Oryctolagus cuniculus: one gene and its partner. The protein of the gene in region 1 interacts with the protein of each later gene in a pairwise test. Links are inferred from orthologs where the notes say so. Each region holds a gene or a part of one and is shown in the gene's direction. Other genes may lie near its edges.

The links. The genes of interacting proteins can lie anywhere in the genome.
Region 2: the proteins of C6H8orf33 (region 1) and HAP1 interact in a two-hybrid assay, tested with the Homo sapiens proteins (2 studies listed by BioGRID and IntAct). The link is inferred for Oryctolagus cuniculus from reciprocal best matches to the Homo sapiens genes C8orf33 and HAP1.

Annotation. Positions count from the first base shown.
Region 1 is NC_091437.1:168,508,242-168,512,310, forward strand, and holds the start of C6H8orf33 (UPF0488 protein C8orf33 homolog), read left to right. Parts: upstream 1-1,265; 5' UTR 1,266-1,280; coding exon 1,281-1,481; intron 1,482-1,566; coding exon 1,567-1,612; intron 1,613-1,691; coding exon 1,692-1,867; intron 1,868-1,977; coding exon 1,978-2,062; intron 2,063-2,145; coding exon 2,146-2,292; intron 2,293-2,515; coding exon of another isoform or gene 2,516-2,562; exon of another isoform or gene 2,563-2,765; coding exon of another isoform or gene 2,766-2,905; exon of another isoform or gene 2,906-3,264; intron 3,265-3,656; coding exon of another isoform or gene 3,657-3,736; exon of another isoform or gene 3,737-3,765; intron 3,766-4,069.
Region 2 is NC_091448.1:20,960,782-20,964,844, forward strand, and holds the start of HAP1 (huntingtin-associated protein 1), read left to right. Parts: upstream 1-1,255; 5' UTR 1,256-1,405; coding exon 1,406-1,826; intron 1,827-2,780; coding exon 2,781-2,857; intron 2,858-3,287; coding exon 3,288-3,404; intron 3,405-3,903; coding exon 3,904-4,063. UniProt on the Homo sapiens protein: Originally identified as neuronal protein that specifically associates with HTT/huntingtin and the binding is enhanced by an expanded polyglutamine repeat within HTT possibly affecting HAP1 interaction properties.

The DNA of each region.
Region 1 (4,069 bases):
AGGAGCCAGGTGCTTCCTCCTGGTCTCCCACACGGGTGCAGGACCCAAGGACTTGGGCCACAGCAGAGAGCTGGACTGGAAGAGGAGCAACCGGGACAGAATCCAGTGCCCCGACCAGGACCAGAATCCAGGGTGCTGGCGCCGCAGGCAGAGGATTAGCCTATTGAGCCACGGCGTGGCTTATTATGTGTACTTTTAACATCTTAAATGCTGTAGGGGAGACTTTGTGTTTGTTAGCATGTATTCTCATAGGTTGTCTATACATGACAATTCAAGACTATGTAACTATGGGTGTAAATTTCAGAAGGTGTGAGCAAGTCATAAAAAGTTTTAAGAAAAGTTTACAATTTTAAAACATTGTTCATAGAGTTTTCTTTTTTAAAAAGATTTATTTATTTATTTGAAAGTCAGAGTTACACAGAGAAAGAGGAGAAGCAGAGAGAGAGAGAGAGAGAGAGAGAGAGAGAGAGGTCTTCCATCTGCTGGTTCACTCCCCAATTGGCTGCAACGGCTGGAGCTGTGCTGACCGGAATCCAGGAGCCAGGAGCTTCTTCCAGGTCTCCCATGCGGGTGCAGGGTCCCAAGGACTTGGGCCATCTTCTTTCTGCTTTCCCAGGCCATAGCATAGAGCTGGATCGGAAGTGGAGCAGCTGGGTCTCAAACTGGCATCCATGTGGGATGCTGGCGCTTCAGACCAGGGCGTTAACCCGTTGCGCCACAGCATCGGCCCCAAGTTTTCTACAAGTTGAATGTGAATGCCAAAATTACATTGACCCAAGATTGAAGTCCAATCTTCTGTTATGACAACGAGGTTTTTGAAAAATGCATATTAATATGTTAGTAAATATCCATATCATTGCTTGGTTCCAGTCCTGGCTGCTCTACTTCTTTTTTTCTTTTAAATTTTTATTTATTTAAAAGAGTGACACAACACACACACACAGAAAGAGGTCTTCCATCTGCTGGTTCACTTCCTCACTTCCTTTGGGTCTCCCACAGGGGTGCAGGGGCCCAAGTACTTGGGCCATCTTCTGGCCCAGGCCATAGCAGAGAGCTGGATTGGAAGTGGAGCAGCGCCTCACTGTTACCTTACAACCATATCTTGGATCCGTTATTGGGTTTGTTCTTGTTAGCTGTTATCTTACTCGGACCAGCGCCCATAAGGGATGCCGGCACTGCAGGGGGCAGCTTTACCAGCTATGCCACAGCGCCGGCCCCGGCCCCGCCTGCTCTACCTCTAATCCAGCTTCTTGCTAATGTGCCTGGGAAGGCAGCAGAAGATGGCTTTGTCTACGCAGCCGGAGCTCGGCCAGCGCCGCCCCGCCTCGCCTGTAGCCCCGCCCCCTGCCCCGCCCCCTGCCCCGCCCCGCGCCTCCCCGCGCACCCGGAACTCCGCGTCGCAGTCGCGTTGCTGGAGGGGCCAATTTGGTCCCGGACTCTGCGCCCTACGCGGGTTCCGGCGGCGAAGGCGGAGCATGGCGGTGAGCGTGGCGGAGGCGCGCGCGCTGCGGGCCCCTGGGCTGCTGGCGGCCTCCAGTGACCCTGATGCTGCCCTCTTCTCTTCAGGCCCCAGGACGTCCTGCTCGCGAGGCCTCTGCGGCCTCAGGCTCAGGTACCGCCTGCGCGCCACGCAGACCCCGGGCCCCTGGCGCGGTTCCGGTGCCCCGAGTACTTCCCCTGTTTCCGTGCAGGGCGACCCACGTGCGGTGCCGCCGCCCGCAAAGCGAACCCCGCAGTCTCTGAGGGCAGTGCCGCCTCCAGGAAGTCCAAGAAGAAAATCCGGGACAGGGCTCCTGCGGCGAACGGAGGCCAGACGGCTTCGGAGCAGCCCGCTCCAGAGGAAGCCTCGCGAAGTGCCGAGGCGCAGGCAAGGGGGTCTCCCGGTGGCGTCTAGAAATCAGCCTTGTGGAGGCAAGGAAGGGCCTGGGGCGGCAGGTCCCGGTGCCTGCCCTCAGCCCCTCTCTCCACCCGTCTCAGGCGGAGCAGCTGGCCCGAGAACTGGCCTGGTGCGTGGAGCAGTTGGAGCTGGGCCTCCAGACGCGGAAACCCACCCTGAAGCAGAGTGAGTGGGGGTGTGGCGGTGGCGGCGCTGGGTGAGAGGAGGTGGGTACAGAGCGGGGGACTGGCCTTTTCTCTTATGCGCAGGAGAGCAGGCTGTCGGGGCCATACGAACCCTGCGCAGCGACAGGACGCCCCTGCCCCGGAAGCGGCAGCTGATGCGTGCCCTGTTTGGAGACTACAGGGCTCAGATGGATGCCGAGCGTCTGGAGGCCCTGCGGTCTCTTAGGGCTGGTGAGGAGCTTTGCGTTTTGGGATGTCCGGTTCAATAGAGAGGAAGGGCTTAGGGAGTGCATCTCTGACGCTGGTGGGGATGGAGTTGAGCTCAGGGAAGCCTGGGCGGGGCGGAAGTGTGGAGCCCTCAGCAAAGCAGAACTGGGCCTGGGCGCAGGGGGCAGAGGTTCTCGGAGGGGAAGGAGCCTGGCCCACAGCTGGCCCTGCCTCACCTTCCATGCAGCAGTTAGTAAGTCCTGGAACCAGCCATCCACCTTGCTCCAGTCCTGAAGCTACCACTTAGGTCGTTAGCACCCTTGGCAAGTTCTAGTTCTCTCCGTGATTCTGTAAGTCATGATAGGAACTGCCTTAGGATTCTCAAGATCAGTTGATTTCTGCTGAGGGTCAGGGTTGCATGAGCAGTCGTAACTGCACAGGTGCTGTTTGCTGTTACTCAGTCCTGACTCTGATGCCCTCTGCCCCCCCCCCCCCAGCTGCTCGGTCTGCCCAGGTGCAGCCTGTGGGTGAGGCCACCAGAAAGAAGAGCCGAAAGGTCTGCAGGCCACGTCCAGTGGGAGGCGCCAAGGCCACTGTGGATACTCCTGATGAAGAGTTTAGGTTCAATTTCTTTTAGCCTCTCCCCCATCAAAGAACAACCCCGGGATGTTGTCTTGAGTGCAGAGACTTTCCAGGAGGTCTCTGTTGGCAGAGGTCAGCTTCGTCTACAGCAGGGCTGTTGGGCTGCTGTGAGTGTCAGACAAGTGCAAGCCCCCATTTGTATGTTTTTGGATGACATGCCCCTCCTGGCATGAGAGAGAGAGAGAGGAAAATCTACAGGAAACAGAAATGAGTGTCATGAAAAGAATAATGTACTTTATTGGTTTTTCAGGCTTGGTTAAGTGCTCCTGGTAATAAGGATTAGTGGTGAAGCTACCTAATTGTACGCTGGGGCTCAGTTTTGAAAATAAGCCCATTAAATATTTCATTGCTTTATACCATTTTGTCTTATTGCCTCAGTCTCCACTTTTGATGGAAGTGGATGATTGAAAGAATGCTGAACATCTCTGTCTGAGGAAGTACACGAGCTGAGGGCCCAGCATAGTTGGGTCCAGGACCTCACCCGACGTGTGGTCCCTTGTCCTTGTTGCCCTCGTGAGCAGTGTTATCCCCAGGGCCGCTGTGGGTCCCAGCAGCACAGGCTGTTCAGAACACTGCGTCAGGCCCAACATCTCCGTCTGTCTTTTGCTTTCTGGTCAGTGGTGCTTCTGCCCACCTGGCTGCTTAGGTGGCAAACTTGTCATCTCCCTTTTTCAACACACGTCAGTACTTGAATGGTTGTCAGATCTGCGTCTCATCTGCACTGCTGCTCTTGGTTCCGGCCCCAGGTCTCAACCATGACTGCTGTGTTGGCCTGATGTCTGCTGCGTTGCCGCTCTGTGGGTGTGTCGGCTCATGGTTCTCCTGACTGAATGGCTTCATTAAACCCAGACTACGGTATGAAAACTGACACACAAGGCCTTAGGGCAGGAGCGTCACGATGGCTCTGACATAACCTCCCGCCCTTGTTCCAGCCTCTCTGGTTTCTTGTTTACTCCTGAAATAACCAAACGTTATCCTGCCTCAGGGTTTTCAGCATTACTGCTCATTTTATGTGGGTTTCCTTGACTGGCTCCTGGGAAAGCAAATATCAACGGGCTTCGTCCATTGTTTACTAGGCGAGGTAATATCCTGTGAAGAGACTCAGCAGTGTTCACAGGAAGTGGTTCCCGCTTGGGCACAGTGCAGATGTAAAGTGTCA
Region 2 (4,063 bases), on another chromosome or scaffold:
GCAAGTGAATCCCTGTGGGGCTGTGGTGGGTGTGTGGCACGAGGGGGCAGGTGGTGCGTTCAGCCTGCAGCCGGCAGCGGGCAATACCGGCTCTGGGAGAGGGAGGTCCTGCTTGAGCGGAGGAGGGGATCTGAGTGGGTCGCGCAGGTGTGGGCTGAAATGCGAACGCCGGGTTCTCAGCACCCTACCTGCAGGTGGGGCTTTGCTCTCCTCCTTTGTGGCTCCTTGTTCGCTTCCTTCTGAGAATTCACTGCAGCCTGTGATTATCTTGCTTGTCTGCCTCCTTTTTAGACTCTGAATTCCGAGGGAACAGACATCTGGTTTCTCTTGTTCCTGCTCTTGCCCCAGACGCAGGGCCTGACACGCACAGGAGGCCCTTGTACACATCTGTGGAATGAACAAGTGAGCCCAGAGGAAGGAGGTGGAGGGCTCACGCTGATCCCTCCTGGGTGGCGTCTCCTGTTGCAGCTGCATCACCTGGGCCCACAGGTACCAGGAGCTTCGCCTGGGTGTGGGGGCCCCAAACCCTGTGTAGGACTCAGGCTAGGAGCAGCGGCTGGGCCAGGGGCACCTGGAACTCCTTGGCTTAGGCGCATGAGCCAGGGGACGGGTTAGAGACGGATGAGAGACCCCGTGGGAGGATGTGGGGACACGGGATGGGGCGGCCTCCTTGAGTCTGAGATGGGAGGAAGCAGAAGGGCTGAGGAGGAGGCCAGCATTCGAGCGATGTTTCAGAGGCTGATTCAGTAGGGCTGGGCGCCGGGGTGTGCAGGAGAAGGCAGCGGGGACACCAGGAACGGTCCTGGGGCTTGGGAGGAAGCAGTGACCCAGGGGCCAGCCAGGGCCCCCTCTCGCCTGCCCCACGGCTCACCGGGGACGCTCAGGGAAGTCGCCCAAGGACAGAACAGGTGTCTGCCAGGCTGGCAGGAGGCAGACAAAGCCAAGTCGGCGGCGTTGCTGGCTGCGCACGGTCCCCCGCTCACCGCAAAAGGCACGACACCGCCGCGCCCACCGGTCACCCAGGCGGGCGCGACCCAGGGAAGGCGGGAGTGGAGGCCGCGGAGGCCGCGGAGGCGGTGGGCGCTAGTAGCTGGAGACCTGGCTGGAGTCTCGTCCGAGAGTTCTCGGGAGGCAGCGGCTTTGGGAGGAACCATTCTCCAGAGATGGGGGAGAGAGGGCAGAAACCCTCACTCTGAGCCCCCGCCCGCGGGGCGGGCGGGACGCTACGCCGCACTCTCCTCGCAGCCCGGCTTCTGCCTGCGTCCTCCGCTCTGCCCCCGCGCGCGCTCTGTCCCGCCGCCTCATTCTCGGCCACCCCCGTCCCCACGCGTGGCACGGCCCGGGGGTACCGGTTCCGCGCGCAGGTTATAAAGCACCGGCTGCGGCAGCGGACTGCGGAGTCGAGATGCGCCCGAAGGAGCAGGGGCAGGGCTGCGCCGGCGATGGGCTGGAGTCCGGCCCCGGCCCCGGCCCTGGGGATCCAGCAGCGGTCATCCCCGAACCCCCGCCCGCAGCCGGCCCCGCTCCAGAGCCTTCGGCCGAGCCCGAACCCAGCCCCGCGCAGGCACCGGGGGCCGGACCCGGAGCAGCCTCCGGGCCCCAGTCCGGGACCAAGTCCCGAGCCCAGCGCGCGGCTGCATTTTGGGCCGAACACGGGGACGCGCCCTGGACCCGCTTTGTGTTTCAAGGGCCCTTTGGTCCCCGGGCCACGGGCCTGGGACGTGGAAAGGCTGCTGGCATCTGGGAAACGCCGGCCGCCTACATTGGCCGGCGGCCCGGGGTGTCTGGCCCTGAGCGCGCCGCTTTCATCCGGGAGCTGCAGGAAGGTAACCAGGTCCCCGGGGACCCGGGACGGGCGGGACCCTCGCAGCTCCGGGGAGAAGGGGCCCCGTCGAGTCCGAGAGCCCCGCCCCCGGCTCTCGGTCCCAGCCGGCTACCCCCCCCCCCCCCCCCCGGCGGTGTCCTGTCTGAAGCGCTGTCTGGCCGCCCCCTTCCTATCTCTTGCTCCCCGGTGGCTCCCTGATTCCCGCGGGTGCGTCCGGGCTAGGGCCCGAAGCTCCCCCGCCGCTTCGGGCGCCTGTTGCTGCAGCGGATCTGCGCGCTCTCAGTGCCCCCTCCCCGTCTACTGCAATGCCAGGAGAGGGGCGGGGGGCTGCGGGAGGGCGCCGCCAGGCGCGCTCTGAGCCTGCGCTGGCCCACAGGGCTCGCCGGCGACCCAGAGCTGGTGGGCGGAGGGGCAAGCGTTGCGCACTTCTGGACTTCTAGGGGCCAGGGGAGTCTAGGTCGCGCTCCCGCCCAGCCTGGCATCTGCCCCTCTTCTTGTCTCCGTCCTATTCTGAGTCGGGGCGGGGCAGACCTCCGGTCTGGGTACCCCTGTCTCGGTTCTGGAAGTCTCTCCCTCCCCTCCTGTCAGTGCGCAACAGGTGCAGGGTGGGGACTGAGTCTGTTTCTGCGACTCGCGCGGCTTCATGGAGCCAGTGCGTGGCTGTGCTCCCATGCTGCCTCCTAGGTGCGGGGACCCGGGTGGCCTGGGAGTCCAGTTCCTGAGCCCCGAGGACTGCCACTCCCTCGCTTTACCCAGATCTCGCTATGGGGGCGGGAGTCTGGTCCAGTTGGCCCCTGGAGGCAGGGGCTGAATACTGGGGGGTGGATGAGTACTGGGGGAGGATGTTGGGGCAGGAAAGTGGCCCAGTGCCCTCCCTCCACGACCCCCGTGTGGACTCCAGTGGGCGCCTGGAGGCATAGCTTCCCTGGTTCCTGACTGCCTGTGCCTCCCGCAGCGCTGTGCCCTAACCTACCCCCAGCCAAGAAGATCACCCAAGACGATATCAAAGTGATGCTGTATTTGCTGGAGGAGGTGTGTACCCACTTCCCAGGCAGGCCAGCCCCGAGCCCTAGCCAGTCTCCCCCACCCCCTTTAGTTCTGCCAAGTAGCCTGGAAGGGTCTAGTCTGTTTCCTGCCTGCCTGAGTCTCTGGCAACCCAGCGGGGAGGGGAGGACGGTTGGTCTTCTGGAAGGCAGTGGATACAGGATGTTCAGGCTAGGGGAGAGCGCCCAGCCAGGCTGGTTAGAACTGCCTTTTTCCATAAGGGGCACTCACTGAGTCGGGTCCCATGGTGGGTTAGTGGCAGACTCCGGCCGGGCACATTGAGAACTGCAGGATGGGGGGGTTTCCCCTGAAGTCCTGGCCTCCTGCTGCCCCCTGTGCACCTCCGAGCCTCTCCCTCCCGTCTGGGAGAGCTTGACAATGGGGAAAGCAGTCACCACAGGCGGGGGTCTCTCTGCAGAGAGAGCGCGACCTGAACACGGCGGCTCGTATCGGCCAGTCCCTGGTGAAACAGAACAGCGTGCTCATGGAGGAGAACAGCAAGTTGGAAGCCATGCTGGGCTCGGCCAGGGAGGAGGTGACAGGGCGGGAGGCGTGGAGGCGGGGCTGGGGAGGCCGGTGACAGGGCAGGAGGAGTGGAGGTGGGGGCCAGGGAGGAGGTGACAGGGTGGGAGGTGTGGAGGTGGGGGCTGGGGAGGAGGTGACAGGGTGGGAGGTGTGGAGGTGGGGGTCAGGGAGGAGGTGACAGGGTGGGAGGTGTGGAGGTGGGGGCCAGGGAGGAGGTGACAGGGTGGGAGGTGTGGAGGTGGGGGTCAGGGAGGAGGTGACAGGGTGGGAGGTGTGGAGGTGGGGGCCAGGGAGGAGGTGACAGGGTGGGAGGTGTGGAGGTGGGGGCCAGGGAGGAGGTGACAGGGTGGGAGGTGTGGAGAGGGGGGCCGGGGAGGAGGTGACAGGGTGGGAGGCTTGGAGAGGGGGGCCGGCCTACTCCCTCCTTGAGCAGGGCCCTGCCCCTGCCCCTGCCCCTGCCCCTGCCCCTGCCCCTGCCCCCGCCCACAGCTCCTCTCTCCTTCTACCAGATTTTACACCTCAGACAGCAGGTGAACTTGAGAGATGATCTCCTTCAGCTGTACTCAGACTCTGAAGATGAGGAGGAAGAGGAGGAGGAGGAGGAAGAGGAAGGAGAGGAAGAGGAGGAGGAGGAGGAAGAAGAAGAGGAGGAGGAGGAGGAGGAGGAGG